5 linked regions of the Xenopus tropicalis genome follow. The protein of the gene in region 1 binds, or shares a complex with, the protein of each later gene. Links are inferred from orthologs where the notes say so. Each region holds a gene or a part of one and is shown in the gene's direction. Other genes may lie near its edges. The genes, in order: bmp2, rgma, rgmb, hjv and bmpr1a.

Region 1 (3,620 bases):
TTGAGCATAGGTGTATTTTGGCCCTTTGATAGTGTTATATGAGAATCGCTATATTCAAGCTAGACATTCAGTGTATGCGCAGACAGATAGTGGGTCTGTGGGCCTACACACCTGCAAAAATAATTCCAGATTTTATGAATGAATGCTTAGTGCTCCATGGAATTTGTATGTCTCCTCAGTAGTAGTGAAAAAGACACAATAGACTTAAATGAAAACACTATATATGCTAATGCTCGTGATGCCCTTCTAGGCTTGCCATGGTCTTCAGTTGACCATAAGATTGAGTGTGGATCAGATGGTTCTGCCTCAGTATAGTTGTGCCAGCTGCCTTTGAGCTTTTATGGGAAGCAGCTGGGTGGAATTCCCTACGAAAGGTCTTGGCATCTGGCAAAGAAGCAGCTACAACTTACAGCTAAACAAATCTGTAGGCTCGTCCTGTTCCACAACTCCTGTTACCACTTTTTTGAGGGGTAATTAGCCTTAGCTATATTATTCCTTGGGTGACTGTTCTATAGTTATATAATGTAGAGTAACCAAATTGCGGTAGAGTAAATCCGATTCTGCTTTCCAGTTAGTGACTCATGCATGGAGGGATAGACAGCATGAGTCATTAGGTTGAATCAGGGAAGAAATTTATGGGTAAGTATGCCCAATAGCTGGCAGATAGAGGTGGCATGTTGTGATCATCATGCCTTGTGGTTTTGGAACACTTTTCATTCTAGTGTAATACAGTTGTCATCTCACATATCTTTCTCACAGTCCTTTGCTGTACAGAATTCTTCGCTTTCAGAGATATTTGTTCTTGTGCTGCTCAACAGCAAACACTCCAATGACAAACGTCCTATATGCTTTTGATCTCCTGACTTGCACCCCTTTGTTTTAGCCTGAATCATATAGTCCATATAGCTGGCATTTCTCATAAATTATTAGTATCCTTTGGGAATGCAAGCTTTGATGAGCAGGGCCCTCCTTATCTCCTGTATTTGTATGTCTGATGTCTACACCCTTCTAGAACTGCATGTAAACTAACTATACAGTGCTGTAAGCAGTTAACTCCTAGCCACAAGCCCTCCTATTGTTTTTGTTGAACTTCTTAAATGTGCCCCTAATTACACTTTACTGCAGCGCCAATAAAAATTTCCTTTCATGATGTTTACGCTACAATAAGTTGGGCTGCTTTTCTTCTTGTGCCCTTGTGGGGAAATCTTTGCGTAACTAGGAAGGTCACTAGCCAAACTACAATGATTTTGTTTCAGCATGGTTACCATTGAGGGCTGCATATAGCTACTGGCCTGACATCACATGAAGATGGGGGGGTCGTCAGTATTGCCCAGATGTCTATCAAGCAGGTTTGATTTTTTTCCATTGGATTGGGGACCGCATTGGTTCATTGATGCAGTCATCACTCCAACGGATCCTATTTCCATCATTGTAATTAGATCTGTGGCCCTTGGGCCAAGCGAATGGATTACTCAGAGATTGCCCTCCTTAGGTGGGCTTGTCAGTGGAAAGATTCACTCGTTTGGTGACCTCTCCAAAGGAGTGGCTCTTATGGTGTATGGCCACTTTATATTTATATTATTACCCAGTATTTTGATAGGCGTCACCCCATATTGACTATAACATCACATCTACCATAACGTATGAATTCCTTTGACCATTAGTCTCCTGATTGATCCTTCTGAGGCCCATGAAGTTTGCTTATAACGGTTCTGTGACTTGTAACTTTGGAAGAATTACAATCCTAAAGCAAGGCTGGACTGCTGCTAATTAATTCAAAGTATGTGATGGACAACATATATCATGTTTTCAACCTGCATGTCTTTTTGGTCTTGCCAACACACTGGCATCTTATGTAACGTCGAACAACTAACAGCTGTAGCCATTTTATAGTTTCTAATTGCTGCAGTTTGAGAGAATGCCATTGAAATATATACAGTGTGGGCTACCAATCACACTGAAGAGAAACTAATGGGCCAGATTCTTATATTAGAAAACATAGCAAATCGTACCAGTACCTTTTTTATAGCGTTACTCCCAGTCATGAAAGCAACCATCATGCAGCAGACATTATGGAATGTATTTAATGGTGGTATTTGTGAGTCTGAGTATGAAAATAAGAAATATCCTAGTGCCCCCCCCCAACCTAATTTATCTGCAGATTTCAAATAAACAACTGAACAAACCAGAGGGGGTGAAATTGCATACATTCTGCAGACTTCTCTTGCAAGTAGCCCACAGGATGTCCTGTAATGTCTGCTACCACAGGCACCACTAATTCCCCCACTTCCTAAGGCTGTTTGGATTGCTGTTTCTGAGTTTTTAGGAAATCGGTAATGTAGTGCTTTCTAAGTTATTGCCTGGGTGTTTTATGTCTGCCACAATTAGAAAAAGAATAAAAGTAGAGAGAACTGTAATAAATGAACGCCAAAATACAACCAAAAAGAGTTATGGAAGAGTCTATTCAGTTACAAAAATAAACATATTTTTTTTTTTATTCTGATCTGAGATGTAAACAGAAGCGTGAATGAAGTGAAAGCTTACAATTTTCTAACCGTAAATCATTTATAGCTTTTATACCAGGTGAGGTTGCAGGGAAACCCTTGGAGAGGTTTATAAAGAAACCTGTCCATGTGAAATTCTGATATCTGAAAGGTCGCATAGAAAGCACCAGTCTTTAAATGATTCTTTATGGATGATGATCTAGGAATTCCATTAAAATTGTCAGGTGGCCATACATGGCTATAATCTGCTTGCAGATGGTAGTAAGTTTTTTTGACCTGTGTACGTCTATCTGACCAATATCTGGCCAGATATCTTTTGGATTGAGAATCATGTTAGGCAAGGACTGCATTGGTGCATTGATCTAGTCCAGTGATCCCCAACCAGTGGCTCAGGGCAACATGTTGCTCCCCAACCCCTCTCAGTGCCCCCAAACCAGGGAGTTATTTTTGAATTCCTGACTTGTGGGCAAGTTTTGGTTGAATAAAAACAAGATTTCCTACCAAATAAAGCCCCCTGTAAGCTGATAGTGTGCATAGAGGCTCTCTAATAGCCAATCTTAGCCCTTATTTGGCTCCTCCATGAACTTTTATGGTACTTGTATTGCTCTCCAAGTCTTTTTACATTTGGCTGTGGCTCACGAGTAAGAGGTTGGGGATCTCTGGTCTAGTCCAACAGGTCTTCCTAGGCCTGAAATAGGATCATCCTGCTTTGGCTCAGCAATGGGTGGCCAAATCAGGCAGAGATCTGTTCTTTTGTCAGCCTCACAAACTAGCTGATATTAAGGTGTATGGCCAGCTTAAGCTTGGGGTGGTTAACTCCACTGGTTGCAATTAGTAGAGAGAGATGGTGAAACTAAACACAAGATAATTCTGTTTTAAGTTTATACTTCTTTCCTTTATTTCTAATACTTCTTCTTTTCCTTTGAAAATAGAATCCATGGAAGAAATTCCCGAGTCTGGCGAGAAAACAATCCAACGATTCTTCTTCAACCTTTCTTCAGTTCCGAACGAGGAGCTGGTCACTTCTGCCGAGCTACGGATTTTTCGAGAGGGGGTCCAGGAGCCATTTGAGGGTGACAGCAGCAAACTTCATCGGATTAATATTTATGATATTGT
Region 2 (3,597 bases), on another chromosome or scaffold:
TTGGCAATGTTACCAGGAATCACTTAACCTGACTGTTTTTGGAATATGGGGATAAACCCCACGCCACCTGAGGGAGTACATACAGACACCTTGTAGATGCCCTGGCTGGAATTGAATCCTGGACCCCCAGCACTGATCTTCTCATTCTCGCTCTGATGCATAATTCCGTGGCTGCGGTGCCACACTCGGGAAATTTTTGGTGTGTTTTAGTTAATTCTGAAACCTTCCTAGAGTGTTAGTGCAAGTGTGGAAGATTTGTCAGTATGACTGAATGGGAACTACACCCCTACTGCTTGCTGCTTCCACTCGTCATTATCTATGGCTTCCAGGCACAGAGACCCATTTATTATAATTACTGTGAATCATTCAATTACTGAACAAATTGATGCTCTTGAGAGTAAAGTGAAAAAAAAAAAAAGCGTATGTTAGCAGAGTGCAAGGGGATGTACCTTTCAGGTTCTTAGGGGAGCAGAACCAGCGGCTCCTGGGGGCCCAAGAGTATAGAGGAGCCTGCACAGGCTGTGAATGATGTCCGGTTTGAATACTTGCATGGCAGACTGGCTCCAAAGTATAGGACCCCTGTAGTTGTATATCTACTGAGATCCCATAAGGTGCTGAGTGAGAACAGCAAGGGTTGTAGTGGGGCAGCGGTTGGCCCGTGGCTCAGCAGGCCACGTGTGTACGTGCGACAGAGGCCACAGGGAAGCTACAATATCACCAAGTGCACAACAGGAAGCCCTGGGCTGGGCAGCGGAACAGTTTACACCTCCCTCTATAGTTGCCCTTTAGTTCTTTTACAGTATATTTAAACTACAGAGGCAGCTTCTTTGTTTTGGCACCAACGCCTGCTCAGGTTATGCTTCTTCAGGCACAAACAAGCAATACAGAATGAGCTGTTCTGCAAATGCAATTCAACTGAAACTCCCAGACAGCCAGCCCCTGCTAGAATGGGATACAGAAAGCAGTCCCATAATGTGCTGTATTATTCCTGCACCCTAGATTCAAGCGGTGCTCTGCTCCCATTTATAAGATATAGTGGCTGCCCATAGGGGCCTGTATTGGGTGGGGGGAAAGCAGGCATGCATGCATTCACAAGCCCCTTGCTGTATAGGGAAACCCCGCAGTGAGGGTCCCCCCATGTTCAGCAGTGTCTCTCAGTTACAAAAAGCTGCCCTGCCGCCCCCTCCCAAGAACATATCTCCAAACATCCAGTAAGGTGTGTGGGGGTGGGTGTCAGGATTAGCACGGCCCTGCCAGGCGGGATGGCTCTTTATTGCCGGCTGCATTATACTGGCTGAGTGCAACTGGCTGACATTTGTACTTGGTCTGGCCCAATAAAGAAGGACTTATTGACTCGCTGCTGATTGTGCTAAATACACAGGCGCTGTCCGTGCTGGAGCTGCTTACTCTCCCTGAGCCCTCAGCTTCACAATAATTGTATTTGTGGTTGAGAAACAGTCTGCGGTGCAACAAAACAGCAATGAGTTTCATGTGCCCCTCGCTGCACTGCTGACCCTTCCACCATAGCATGGCCAGCCCCTTTCCTCCAGTCACTCACTATGGTAGGATGGTGCTAGGAGCGCTGTATGGATTCTGTATAATATACTGCTCTGGACAGGGTTTGGGCTTTTCCTGTCTTCCCATTCACTTTGAATAAGGGGAATTTTTAATGTTTTGCAACTCTTCCAATCCCATAGAGCAAAGTGCTAGGAGTTCCCCTCTGTGCCATTGTCATACTACCCTAGGTAACTGTGTCCGTTCTATGTACATAAAGCATCATACATACATCTGTATGTGTTTGGTGAGAGCTGCCACACTGGTTGCTCTAGCACGTATGTGTGACAATGCCTTTACAGACCCAGATGAATTCACTTCTCTTATAGAATGGTAACAGGCATGCTTGGCTCGGCTCAGCAATAGGTTATTTACTTGGGTTTGGCAAGAAATGGTGTTTTATTTTCTCTAAATGGTAAATATAATATCCTTTAAATACCAAGTAAGATTCCTGGAAACCAACCAGGAAGTGCTGATGTTTGTAAATGAGGGTGGCGTGAAGTTGCTCTATAGCATGTTGTGTGTCGGCTGGATGTTGACTCTCTGTATTTCTCTCCGCATAGTGAGCTCATCGTGCAAGATTTTGAAGTGCACTGCCGACTACTTGCAAGCGACTTCAAACCCACATCATCACGCAGGACCTGAGGACACAGTGGAGATCTGCACCGCACTGCGCACCTACGCCCACTGCAGCCGACGCACGGCACGCACTTGCAGAGGAGACCTTGCTTACCATTCAACTGTCCATGGCATTGATGACCTCATGAGCCACCATAACTGCTCCAAGGATGGCCCCACCTCTCAGCCACGCATACGCATCTTGCCTCCAGGGGACAGCCAAGAGCGCTCCGACAGCCCCGAAATATGCCATTATGAGAAAAGCTTCCACAGACCCTCTGCCCTTCCAAACTATACCCACTGTGGCCTCTTTGGAGACCCACACCTTAGGACGTTTTCAGACACTTTCCAGACCTGCAAAATACAAGGTGCTTGGCCCCTCATAGACAATAATTACTTGAATGTGCAGGTTACCAACACTCCCGTGCTTCCAGGATCAATTGCCACAGCCACCAGCAAGGTAAACACAACATATTTGCACATGATTATACCTCATTTCAAGGGTTGCCCCTGGGTTGCCAGGTAAAGCCGCTGAGTGACATTTGCAATATGTACTTTTCACACACCAATAGTCTTCCCAGCTGCCCATAAAGCTGCTATAGTGCTGAGACCTATTTTGTTATATATATTGACTTTCTTTAACAGCCGTACAGTGCTGTAGCAGAGACAGTGGCACTGGATATTTATAGAACACTTATATCCTATGGGCAGAGTTGTGCCCATTTCTACGATCTTTATTCAGATATAGATCTATGATTTCTGGGTCTGGCTTAACTCATGTCCCAGGCAACCAGCTGCTTCCTGTTGGGTCAACAAACCAAGGAAGCAGAAATAATGCCTCCCCGTAGCCCACAAGGCACATCCAGGCTTTAGTAACTTGCCTCTCATTGTCCTTTGTCACAGGGATGGATTAGTTTGGCCTACCTTAAGTCATTCACTTTGGAGCAGCTCACTATTTAGACTTCAGCAGCAATTTCCCTGATGGTATAACAGCCTTCCACAAACAGACTGCACATTAACTATTATAATGCAGTGTCCCCTCGCCTGTATCTGATTTCAGGAAGGCCCCTTGAAAGGGCAGCTTGAGCCACAAAGGTCCCTGCAAAGCCTTTATGGCAACTTTCTAAGGAAGATCAGATTGTGCGAGTAGGTTTCTTGTCAGCACTCACCTAAGGGGCAGATAAGGTGCAGCACTGAAAATGCAAATCATTTACATAAGCTTTTAATGACCTTTGGGCTGAGCAGTGATTTAGTAATAACAGGCCTAGCCTGTATTCATGTAAGTCATGCCCTGAGGAAATGCTAAACATATATATATGTGCTGTGAACTATCCCTATTCTCCTGTCACATCCAGCATTACCATTACCTATCAATTACTTGCCCATTTTATTATAGCCACCTTCTTGGCATAGGTTGGCATCAGT
Region 3 (4,236 bases), on another chromosome or scaffold:
ACACTGAGTAGTATATACCCCAGCCCAATTACCAGAGACAGCTTTTAATAGAATTAACCAACTCTTCTTTTGATACAGGCAAGTGAGAGGGCCATAGGGTTGCCACCTTGCCAGCAGGCCCGGACCGGCAATCTGAGGATTCTGGCAAATTGCAAATGGGATGCTGTGAGATGCCATAGACAGACACTATTTAGTTGGCTGGTGGGGTGGGGAGCTGTTTGAGCCACTGTGTAGGCCAATTGGATTGTAAGCTCTATGGGGCAGGGACCTCCATTCTCTTGTTTCTTCGATTCTTATTTTATTGCAACTGTACCTTGTATTTATTTGTATTTCTATCATATTTTGTACTAATCTTTTATTTTAATAACCCCCTGTACTAATTTCTTGTTTTACTGTACAGCCATGCATACACATGTAGTGCTTTATAAATAAAGATATACATACATGCATACATACATACAAATGCCAAGGTTTACTTTAAATCCCAGTCCAGATCGGCTGGTCAGTAGTATTAATATCTGGCTGAATGTTTAATTCCAATGTTATTAATACAAAAAGAATGGAAAAGCTGGTATTTTTTTTAGAAAAAGTAGCAACCCTGCCCATGTTTACTCTGCCAGTCTGCACACGAAGTAATGGGTTGGCCCTTCTAAAGTTCCTTATGTGTTACATGGTACATGTGGGAAAGCTGCAGGGCACTGACAGTACTACAACTCTCAACCGCCTCAGTGCACTTCTGCCAAAGTGAATGTAGCAAGGACATACTGTTTCCAAGGGATTAGGGGCCCCTATTATTAGATATAGTCAAGGGCTCAAATAGGAAAGGGGGTGAAAGAGTTACTTCAAATTGGCCAACGCTATCCGCCCCAGAATAGCAAGTTACATAATGCCCACAGCTGGAGGGCCACAGGGGTATCTCTCATGCTAACAGTAAACATGTATGAGAAATTGTTACCCAGCGTTACATAGCGTGTGGGAGTTACGTTGCATCTTCCCTAAGGAGCCCCTGGCCAGTGGGGGACCCAGGTCAAATTTCTGGTCTAACACTTAGTTCCCTACACACTAAAACAGACCGTGGGCCTAATACAGTAGCTGAAGGCCGCTTTTCACGGCCAGGATAATAGAGCTGCAACTGCTGCTGAACTTCAGCTCTCCCATGGATGCTCTGAACTCAGCAATAAGTCACAGCCCCGTCTCAGCCCTGAGTTCACTGCTGTACAGAGTAACAGCCCAACCCCATTCGCTTGCTCTCTGCTCTACAACCACGCCCATTCCAGTGACTTGCTCAGCAAGGTGATGATTGACAGCACACTTCTGCCCAATGGCATCGAGCGGAGTGGGCGGGGCAAGACTAGTGAGAGTGCTGAGCACGGCTTGTTCCCGGGAGGGGGATCGGGAGAGGGCGCCGCCCAGTCAGTCTCAGCCACAAGCCTCCTGTCCCTTCCTGCATAGTCCGTGAGCTGCCGGCGCTACAGCGGGACATCCTGCTTCTTGTAACCGTGTTCCCTTCTCTCTCTCTCCCGCTCCCTTTGTTTCTCATTATGTGTCACATCGTTCCCATCTGACGTCACTCGCACCGTCCCATTATCCCTGTACGATCCCTGTTCCCTGTGCATCCATGTTTTCTTAAAACTTTGACGCAATCGTTAAGGAAGAAGAGGAAAAGAGCCGTCCGCCTTGGTACGAGCAGCTGTCACCCCGGCATTGGGAGCCCGGCACTGCCACCTGAATGGATGGGCATGGGGAAAAGGGCCGGACTCTCTTACCCCGGGGCTGAGCGGCTGCCCCCGCCTGTCGCAGCCCTGCACCTCCCCGTACTGCTGCTGCTGCTGCTGGCTCTTTGGGGGGACACAGGTAAGCACTCTCTTACTAGCGCTGTGCGAGTCTCTTTAGCGCTGTGCGAGTCTCTTTAGCGCTGTGCGAGTCTCTTTAGCGCTGTGCGAGTCTCTTTAGCGCTGTGCAAGTCTCATTAGCGCTGTGCAAGTCTCATTTACAGCTGGCGAGGATTGCAGTTCAGCAACAACTGTGTGGGCGCAATAGGGCGAAGCAATTTAGCAGACGCCAGGGAGGTTCAACCTGCCTATATTTTGCCGAACTTAAGTACCCAAACTGGACTCCTAGGACCTAATGATCCCCACATAGTCACCCTCCCCCCCGTGTTCGGCTGAACTGCAACTCCCATTTGTCTGGAGATGCCAGACGGGTTGTTCAGTAACAGCCAGAGAGCTGCATGTTGAGCATCCGTGTCTAATGCTGTTATGTTCAGTGCCAAGTCCTTTTGTTGTAGTAACAGTTTATGGCTGGATCAGGTTTTGGCTGCTGCAGAACCTCTTGCACAACCAAGCTGTTGCACTTTTTCCTGGAAGTCCTTATACAGGTATAGGGCCGTTATCCAGAATGCTCGGGACCAAGGGTATTCCGGATAAGGGGTCTTTCCGTAATTTGGATCTCCATACCTTAAGTCTGCTAGAAAATCAATAAAACATTAATTAACCCCAATAGGATTGTTTTGCATCCAATAAGGATTATTTATATCTTAGTTGGGATCAATTACAAGGTACTGTTTTATTACAACAGAGAAAAAGGAAATCTGTTTTAAAATTCTGAATTATTTGATTAAAATGGAGTCTATGGAAGACGGGCTTTCCGTAATTTGGAGCTTTCTGGATAATGGGTTTCCGGATAAGGGGTCCGATACCTGTAATAACTGAAGATTAACACAACCATTGTCCCTGTAGCCTGTCCCACCTTCTATGCTGGAGAAATGTATTTGTTACTGTGTATGAATATCTTTATGCCATTGCTCCATGAGAAGGTGCTTCTGTCAGTGACTGGTGTTAGGCTTTGGTAATGCCAAGGTAGCCATGGTCTGCGCCATGTGAGATGAATGGATACCTACTATCCCATAGTGTGGCTAACTGGAACTGCGGGATTGTCTCTAAATTTGGCTGGCTAAACCTTAAAGGAAATTACATAGGTCCTGTATGACAGTAAGGAAGTACATAAATGTACCTGCACACCCTGGGCATCTCCCTCGTCAGTAACGTGAACTTGTCAGACTTACACCCACATTGCTTATATGGAGCTTATACTGCGTTTATTGGGATATATATGGGGGCAATGCAAGGTTCCAAGGTGGTCAGACACAGGGAGGATAAGATCCGTGTTGCATTGTACCTGTTTGCATCCACATAAATAGGGTAAATTACCCACAAATTACAATCAAGCCTGTGTTTAATTTTTCTGGTTTAGGGGTATCCATTTTCATTTGGTTAATAATGGGCTCATATTGTAAGTATCAGGAGGGCAAAACCCTTGTCACTTGTCCTGTAACACCTTTCCATCCAGGGGCAGCTGGCAGGCTGCATGCAGACACCTCCCTAAATTTTATATGTCCCAAAAAGGGGACCAAGGCTTCTTTAAATCAGTGCCACCCTTACTCATTTATTGCAGTTAATCAACATCATTTGTGAAAGTCTGGCATTTTAGCTCCCACCCAACATGTAACAAACTGTCAGTTAAAGCCACACAGGTGACAGTGGAGTGCACTGCCCCTTAACCATTGATGGCTTTTAATAGATTACAGTGGGAATTACTGTAACTAGTAACAGGCTGAAATTATTGGTGGAAGGTGGGTGGCAGACAGTTAGCTACTCTTCCATGATTTTGGCCAAAAGAAAAATCATGGAAGTCAGTATGCTTGCCAATGTACTTCTTTAATTTGACAGTTAAAGGGCAAATACAACTTAATATCTGCATCTGAAAGTGCAGAAAGTTCACTTATCAGTCCCGCAGGCATGTCCAAGTGGGCACCATGCAATGATCACAGGCTGTGGTACTTGGAAACACTATAACAGTGAAGGCCGGGCTGAAGAAAACATGAACTTTTATTCTGAAGAAACCTGCAATACTTCATTAAAGGGGATTTAACAAAAAAGCCAATGTTACCTCATGAAAGAAATAGTAATTTTTAAATGTAAATATAACTACTATAAAAAAGCAGCATCTGTCCCTTTCTGTTCTGTGCCCTGGTGATTTTGACTTTAGAAACAATGTAGCAGCAGCCAGCCGAAGAAGCATATAAGGCTGACCTCCTACTGCTACATTGTTTTAAGAGACAAAGCCAGCAGTACAGAAACTACAAATAACCCCAAAATAAACGTCAATGTATTTTAGAAAGTTGCTTACACCTTTTTCTACTATAAGACAAAATGTAAATTTTGGTTTTATATCCCC
Region 4 (3,620 bases), on another chromosome or scaffold:
CTGATCTACCACTCTGCAGTGCACATCATTGAAGATCTCATGATTCAGCACAACTGTTCCAAAGAGGGGCCTACAGCATCACCCAGGCCCCAACCTCCCCAGCCTCGCCCCGAAGGCCCCAGGAAACAGGAGGCCTGTGATTATGAGAGAACTTTCCGCGAGAAGCATGGCAAGATTCCAAAGTATCTCCACTGTGGGGTGTTTGGGGACCCTCATGTACGCACTTTTAGTGGTGACTTTCAGACGTGTCGAGTGAACGGGTCATGGCCTCTGTTGGATAATGAATACCTGTTTGTCCAAGCAACCAGCTCACCACTCTCCACTATGTCCAATGCCACAGTTACTACTAAGGTAAAAACCATTGCAGATTCGTCCCTATGAACTTCATTCAAAGCAAGCATGGCAAAAAAACACCATCTACAGGGCTTTTTTTAAATGACTTCAGTGTGGTTTAGGTTTGGGCAATAACTACCCCTAGGTTGCGCTGTTGGTTTTCAAAAGCCTTATGTCATCATTCCTAGGACGTCATAACAGGGCTAATATTTGCAAATTCCCTAAGGTCTTCCAAAACCTCCCTTAGGTTCTACCATGATAGTTATTCTAATTGATAATGGGCCTGTATCCAGGAGATATTAACGTGGATCCAGTCTTTGGTAGATGCTCTAGTCTACCCAACCAAGTTGATCTAAATTCCTTTCCAGCAGCTGAACACTGTCCCCTTCCTGTAGAACATTGCAGGAGTTTCAAAGCTGGACCTTGTTAGAGAAGCCACCATTAGAAGCCAAATAAGCTCCCTAGGGCCCACTACAAGCAGACAAGAAAAAGGGAAAGTTGTGCTCAACCACTAAATTGTCAACCATTAGGCGTTGGTGCAATGAGGCTGTGACCACAAAATACATATAAACAACCGCAAAAAATTCTCTGCACTCACCCATTATCAATATGTAGAAATAGGACATTAGGACATGTCCTAATGTCCTATTTCTATATATTGATAATGGGTGAGTGCAGAGGATTTTTTGCGGTTGTTTATACCCACTACAAGCAGGACAGGCATTTTTACACATAAACCTGGATTTACAGAGGTATTGTTTTCTTGTTATTCTCCATAATGATGCTTTATTTATTCTCATAGATCACCATCATCTTCAAAAACATGAAGCAGTGCATAGATCAGAAGGTTTACCAAGCTGAAGTGGACAACTTACCAGCAGCCTTCGATGATGGCTCAGTCAATGGAGGTAGACGAGCGGGTGGAAGTAACCTTAAGATTTACGACAGGGAGCCCGGGAGCTTAATAGAGATCGAGGCCCCTTATATTGGAACCACCATACGAGTTCGCCAGTTGGCCAAGCAGCTTTCATTCTCCCTGCGCATGCCTGAGGACATCTCATTGGCTTTCCAAGAGGAACAGGACTTGCAGCTATGCATGGGAGGATGCCCAGCTAGCCAATTCATATCTAGGACTAAGGATGTTGGTAGGACAAGCTCTATCAGCACCGACAAGGCCAAATCTATGTGTAGAGCGAAACTCCCAGTTGAGGATGCTTATTTCCAGTCTTGTGTGTTTGATGTGGCCATATCTGGAGATGCCAACATGACAAATGCAGCCTACTATGCCTTGGAGGATGCCAAAGACTTTCTCCCTGAACCAGGAATGTTACATATATTCAGCACAGGAGCAGCAAATGGTCGGCATATACCTGTTGCCTTAATACTTCTGCTGTGCCTGGCTAACACCGTGCAGAACCTGTAGCTATTTGGGCGTTGCATGTTGCAAACAAAGGCCTGGACACAAATGTGAAGATGGTGGACCCAATGTTTGGCAGAAGCTAGATCATTGAAACTGATAGGATTGCCGTCAGTTCTGGTGCAATTCCTTTAGGCACAGCTATTGTACATCTCAGGGCCTATTGTACATATCACGCCTCTGCCAGAAAGACTCTAAATCCCAAACTATTTATCATAAAAACCCTTTTGGATGTTCTTCTGGATGTTCTATGTCACCACTGATCCAAATCACAATGGCCAATGTCATTACGGAACTTTATCACACAAACACCTATATATATATAAATATTAGGTCTTCAAGTAGGGGGGATAAAGGGCACAGACTATATGCCCTTTCACAAAAAAAACTATTTCAAAATGCACCTTCCTAAATCTGAAAGTATATATATATATATTTATATTTTATATTTAGAATGTTTGTTGGCTTAGCAGGAAAATATAGCTTAATAGGGCAGTTTATTTTCCACCATGTTCTTGTAAAATGATGGTTTTGCCCAAGCAGCCATTATCTCTCACTGGTTTGCAAACATCTTTATCACCTCCCACAGCCCTCCCATTGTTCTATAAAGCCCTAATAAGGAGCCAGAAGGGGTGTGGCCTGACATCATTGAAGGAGTGGTCAGGCAAACAGGGCTGTAAATGGAATTCTTCCTATCGGGCACAACTATAGGGCGATGACTTGTAGCATGTACAAACCAGTCCCATATAACTAAGGCACAATACACTTCAATAGTCATTTATGGAACTGCACATCAACATTTCAGATCCTTGTTGCTGTCTTTTTAGATTGAGTAAAGCAAATGAAACCCTAAAAAACAACTTACCGTATAGTTGCTCTTCTGAGCACTTTTGCAATTTACATTTAATATTTTCTAGTTTACGAGATAGTGGCACTTTTCATACTACTAATATGATGCTGTGCGCCACCTGTTGGTAATGTAGACCAACTGAAACATGAAGTTAGTGAAAAATGGAAAGCCTTGTGATGTTGTTCTGCTCAGAAAATTCAGTAAGTGAGCACAGAAGAGTCATCTGATGTTTCTCTGGTTGGTTCTAAGGGTAGCGACAATGCAAAACTTTTCCTTTTTTCACTTCATTTTACACCGACTGTGTCCAGTCATTGAAAATTAACAGCAGGTGGTTTTTTATATATAATATATCATATAGCAGTGTTAAAACTAATAATACGTTGAACACTAGAAGAGAGTTTATTAATACAAATTGCAAAAATGCTCAGAGGAGCACACAGAGTGAGTTTACATTACATAGTAATATGTTAACATATATACATATTTTAGGTTGAAAAAAGACCATCCATGGAGTTCAACCTGCCTGCACTTATCTGAGTTCAAAAATCTAAAATGAGAATGAACCATTAAATCCCACATTTCCAATCCGGCCCTATTGTGGTCCAGTAAGGCTGCACTGGTCTCTCACCACCAGGTGGCGACAGTTCATAGCATAAACCTTATGAAACCTGAGCGACAAGACGGTTGTAGCAGATTTATTAGCGTGTATTATTAGCGCAAGGCATTTCAATAGCATTAAAAGTACAGAGAATATCTGTGCAAATGGTACGATCCAGCAGCACTGGGGTTAAACCACTGTAGATAAGTATCGGTTGCCTGGACAGAAATATTTAATATATTGAGGTTGAATGTTTTATTAAAAATGGGTTCTATTTTTTTGTGAGATTTGTTTTTATATGTTAAATTAATAGGGGGGACAGTGTGGGGTAAGTTGGAGCGCTGTATTTGTGGTTCTCTTTTCCTTCTCTAATGTAGAACTGACTGTCAGGCCTGACCGTGATTGTCCAGCAGGTGGTGCTG
Region 5 (3,620 bases), on another chromosome or scaffold:
CTAACACAAAAGCAGCAGTTTGTTTCGGTTTGTTTAGGGTTGCAGTAGATCCATGCCCTTTAATTGACAGTAAGTTTATGTGCACACACATGCTTTCAAATATTCAGATTTGAAAGCAAAAACATTAGGTCAATATTAAGGGGCCAATTTATTAAAACACGAGTTCGAATCCCAAATGGGAAAAATTCGGATTGGATACAATAATTTCTAAAGAAATGCTTACGAAATAATCGTATTAGTCACGATAATATCGTATTGGCGATCCGAAAGATTGTAAACAGCAGCAGAACCTTTCCGAATTTTTCGTGCAAGCGTACGAAAAAGTTACGCAAGCATACGAAAAAAATACACGGAGCATTCGTGTCTTGATAAATCTCCTAAGTGTCCGCAATTCTTTAGATTCGTTTTGTATTGTGTTGCTATATTGCTTTAAAAAACTTAGATGCAAAAAATGGAAAACTGGAATAAATGCCTGTGAGCATTGCAATTTACTTTATATTAAATCTTAAATGCATGAACCCTAAGGGCTGTGTCACACCCAGGCAATTTCTTTACCAGCATACTTGCGCCAGGTGTGAAAATAACAATCCGATTTCTTTTTCCCCAACATCACTGTGCACTGAATGACAGTTCTGGCGTTGGCCTGTTAATGCCCAATGGGGTAGATTTTGGAATGAAAATACAAACTTAAGCTTTCTGCACTGAAATCCACTCCATCTGTTCACAATTAGGCTAATACAGCACTGATCAGTGCACAGTAATGTGGAGATAGAGGACACATTTTGGCATTTACATCCCTGGCATAAATATTCTGGTGATGTGAGGGCAGAGCTTTTTATTAGTACTTTGCATTTATTACATTAGTATTTCCATACACATGGTTAAACCAGAGACCAGCTATGCAGACGTGTTATATGCAAACTGACCTTATGCTTATGTAGCAGAACTGAAACCACTGGAGAGGACATTTGAGATGACATTTTTCTTTCATTGTTTCAGATGCAGAATATGGTTTGCGCTTCATTGCTCTTATCATTTCGTTGGTGGTCTGTGTGATTATTATAGCCGGCTTCATTCTTATCATTTGGCTTTACAAGTAAGACATTATTTGAATAGTATTGAATTATTTGTTGTTGTTCTTTACCTGTGTGTCTTGGACTTTGTACAATGATTATTTTGTGTTGTAGCTCACTACATAAACCTGGGGTGATTATTGATATTGCTACTGTATTACAGTAGTCACTGATGATTGCACCCTTATTTATAGTAGTTGCAGTAAGTAGAATATGAACTGATTTGCTTGTCATTGACTCAAACATATAATACTATTGTTTACTGGGCACAGATACACCAGTTAGTTTAAATTAGCCAAATGGGATGTAACTGTATTTGTCAACAACTGTAGTGACTGCATACTGTTCTTTACATAGTTACTGTTAAGAAAAAGGCCAATAAATTAGGATTATGTCAGTACAGGTGTGGTATCTATCTAAGCTCTGCATGGATTAATTTAATGCAATGCAAAATATTAAAGGGGCTGTTCACCTTTAAGTAAACTTTATTATGATTTAGATAGTAGTATTCTGAGACAATTTTCAATGTTTTTCATTTTCCATTCAGGAGCTCTCTAGTGTGGTGGTTCAGCATTTTTTTGGTAACTAGGGTCCAAGTTACCTTAGCAACCAGGAAATGGTTGGGAAGAATGACTTGTATATGAATAGGAGAGGGCCTGAATAGAAAAGAAAGCTACAAAAAGTAACAACAGCAAAACTGTAACCTCACAGAGCAAATACTTTTTTGGCTGGTGGGGTCAGTGTTTTCCATTCAGAAACTTCAAAGAGTTGCAAGAAAAATGTGAATAATTCAAAAACTAAAATAAATAATGAATGCCATTTGAAAAGTTAATAAACCATAACTATTCTAATTATGTGACAGGACAGCAGTGCTGGAATTTTTTAACAGTTGAGTTGAGGTTTGCCATTTATTGTTACTATCATCTCTTTGTAATTAGAATTCTATATATTGTGCATGTCACTTTTTGCCACAAACAATGGAGGTACTTCTCTCTTTCTGCCTTCTTTGTTTTTAAGGGTTACGAATTGATTTTAAAATTTATAGCCAATAAATAGTGATAGTGTACTTCATAAAGCATGTTACGTTTTGCAGTATCTAAGCACTGATAAGAGAATAGTCCAGTTTTAGCCCCTGGGTGCCCTTTTTCTTGTACATATATAATTGAGAGTGATTTATATTAGTGCCTATGTATATTGGTGCAATCACCTTGGACATACAAGTGTAATTTTTTTACAGACATAAACTGCATTCCCAAAGGATGCTATATAACAGGAATTTGGACCCCGATGATGCCTTTATACCTGCAGGGGAGTCCCTTAAGGCTCTTATTGATATATCACAAAGCTCTGGTAGTGGCTCTGGGCTGCCTTTATTGGTAAGTATAAATTTCTTTTAACTTCTTTTTTGTTGTTATTGATAATACATTTATTTAATCATGTGATGCTTTAAATCTGTAGGTGCAGCGTACTATAGCGAAGCAGATCCAAATGGTTAGACAGATAGGAAAGGGAAGGTATGGTGAAGTATGGATGGGAAAATGGAGAGGAGAGAAGGTGGCTGTCAAAGTGTTCTTTACTGCTGAAGAAGCCAGCTGGTTCCGGGAAACTGAAATCTACCAAACTGTCCTCATGCGACATGAGAATATACTTGGTAAGTGCATAAGGAACACTCTACCCAGTCTACTCAGCCCTGTACTATGTAGACATTGCATAGCCTTATATTATTATAACTTGTAACCACATTTATAAAGACTTAAATAAGCACCTTAATATAAGATTGTATCAAGGGAGCTAATGGCCATAAGATAAATACATTTTTTTTTTTTTTTTTTTTCATTTTTAGGTTTCATAGCAGCTGATATTAAAGGAACAGGCTCATGGACACAAATGTACCTAATAACAGAGTATCATGAAAATGGATCATTGTATGACTTCCTTAAGTGTACCACTCTGGATACTAGATCTTTACTCAAGCTTGCTTATTCAGCAGCCTGTGGATTATGTCACCTCCACACTGAAATATATGGCACTCAAGGAAAACCTGCCATTGCACACAGGGATCTGAAAAGTAAAAACATACTTATAAAAGAAAATTGGACATGCTGCATTGCTGACCTGGGACTTGCAGTAAAATTTAACAGGTATGCTGTGTCTCGCTCTGTGTTCACAACTGAGGTTACGTATGCTGTGGTACAGTACAGTATGAAAAGTGCAGCTACAGGCAAACATTTCACTATAAGGTGTCTTGTATATTTATTTTATTAAAAGATGTTTTGTTCAAGGTGTCCCCAGCTGTTTTCAAGCGCTTCTTCCAGCCTCTGTAGCTGAATAAATAAGATTTTCTACAAAATAACAGAATATGTTACGTTCACTTTTTTCAAGTTATAAAAACATTTTTTGTAGAGAAAACCCACCCTAGCCATCTTATTTGTGCAGTTTAACAAAAAGAAGTGGCATTGTCTCTTACTGTTCCCTTAATGTTACTTCTTAGTGATACACATGAAGTTGATATACCCCTGAACACACGTGTGGGGACAAAGCGTTATA

The links.
Region 2: the proteins of bmp2 (region 1) and rgma are in contact, whole or in part, in a crystal structure (PDB 4UHY), measured with the Homo sapiens proteins. The link is inferred for Xenopus tropicalis from reciprocal best matches to the Homo sapiens genes BMP2 and RGMA. Residues at the interface, in NP_001191.1 of Homo sapiens: Val308, Gly309, Trp310, Asp312, Trp313, Met371, Tyr373, Leu374, Asp375, Glu376, Lys383, Tyr385, Met388; in NP_064596.2 of Homo sapiens: Arg91, Arg94, Gly95, Leu97, His100, Ser101, His104.
Region 3: the proteins of bmp2 (region 1) and rgmb are in contact, whole or in part, in a crystal structure (PDB 4UI2), measured with the Homo sapiens proteins. The link is inferred for Xenopus tropicalis from reciprocal best matches to the Homo sapiens genes BMP2 and RGMB. Residues at the interface, in NP_001191.1 of Homo sapiens: Val308, Gly309, Trp310, Trp313, Met371, Tyr373, Leu374, Asp375, Glu376, Tyr385, Met388; in NP_001353437.1 of Homo sapiens: Lys97, Arg100, Gly101, Leu103, His106, Ser107, Leu110.
Region 4: the proteins of bmp2 (region 1) and hjv are in contact, whole or in part, in a crystal structure (PDB 4UI1), measured with the Homo sapiens proteins. The link is inferred for Xenopus tropicalis from reciprocal best matches to the Homo sapiens genes BMP2 and HJV. Residues at the interface, in NP_001191.1 of Homo sapiens: Phe331, Pro332, Ala334, Asp335, Leu337, Asn341, Ile344, Val345, Leu348, Ser351, Val352; in NP_001366281.1 of Homo sapiens: Leu40, Asn43, Tyr46, Val47, Tyr86, Leu101, Ala102, Ser105, Ala106, His108, Gly109, Ile110, Asp112, Leu113.
Region 5: the proteins of bmp2 (region 1) and bmpr1a are in contact, whole or in part, in a crystal structure (PDB 2QJ9), measured with the Homo sapiens proteins. The link is inferred for Xenopus tropicalis from reciprocal best matches to the Homo sapiens genes BMP2 and BMPR1A. Residues at the interface, in NP_001191.1 of Homo sapiens: Lys297, Pro330, Phe331, Pro332, Leu333, Ala334, Asp335, His336, Ser339, Asn341, Ile344, Val345, Leu348, Asn350, Ser351, Val352, Asn353, Ser354; in NP_001393490.1 of Homo sapiens: His66, Cys67, Pro68, Asp69, Ile77, Thr78, Asn79, Phe83, Ile85, Cys100, Met101, Lys102, Glu104, Gly105, Phe108, Gln109, Asp112, Arg120, Ile122.

The regions. Positions count from the first base shown.
Region 1 is NC_030681.2:25,399,301-25,402,920, forward strand, and holds part of bmp2 (bone morphogenetic protein 2 precursor), read left to right. Parts: intron 1-3,436; coding exon 3,437-3,620. UniProt on the Homo sapiens protein: Growth factor of the TGF-beta superfamily that plays essential roles in many developmental processes, including cardiogenesis, neurogenesis, and osteogenesis. Induces cartilage and bone formation.
Region 2 is NC_030679.2:112,524,045-112,527,641, reverse strand, and holds part of rgma (repulsive guidance molecule A), read left to right. Parts: intron 1-1,239; exon of another isoform or gene 1,240-1,966; coding exon of another isoform or gene 1,967-2,117; coding exon 2,118-2,632; intron 2,633-3,597.
Region 3 is NC_030677.2:176,215,784-176,220,019, reverse strand, and holds the start of rgmb (RGM domain family member B precursor), read left to right. Parts: upstream 1-1,426; 5' UTR 1,427-1,733; coding exon 1,734-1,854; intron 1,855-4,236. UniProt on the Homo sapiens protein: Member of the repulsive guidance molecule (RGM) family that contributes to the patterning of the developing nervous system. Acts as a bone morphogenetic protein (BMP) coreceptor that potentiates BMP signaling. Promotes neuronal adhesion.
Region 4 is NC_030684.2:128,546,876-128,550,495, reverse strand, and holds part of hjv (hemojuvelin), read left to right. Parts: coding exon 1-351; intron 352-1,135; coding exon 1,136-1,756; 3' UTR 1,757-3,620. UniProt on the Homo sapiens protein: Acts as a bone morphogenetic protein (BMP) coreceptor. Through enhancement of BMP signaling regulates hepcidin (HAMP) expression and regulates iron homeostasis.
Region 5 is NC_030683.2:49,342,410-49,346,029, forward strand, and holds part of bmpr1a (bone morphogenetic protein receptor type-1A), read left to right. Parts: intron 1-999; coding exon 1,000-1,096; intron 1,097-2,310; coding exon 2,311-2,449; intron 2,450-2,531; coding exon 2,532-2,724; intron 2,725-2,916; coding exon 2,917-3,214; intron 3,215-3,564; coding exon 3,565-3,620. UniProt on the Homo sapiens protein: On ligand binding, forms a receptor complex consisting of two type II and two type I transmembrane serine/threonine kinases.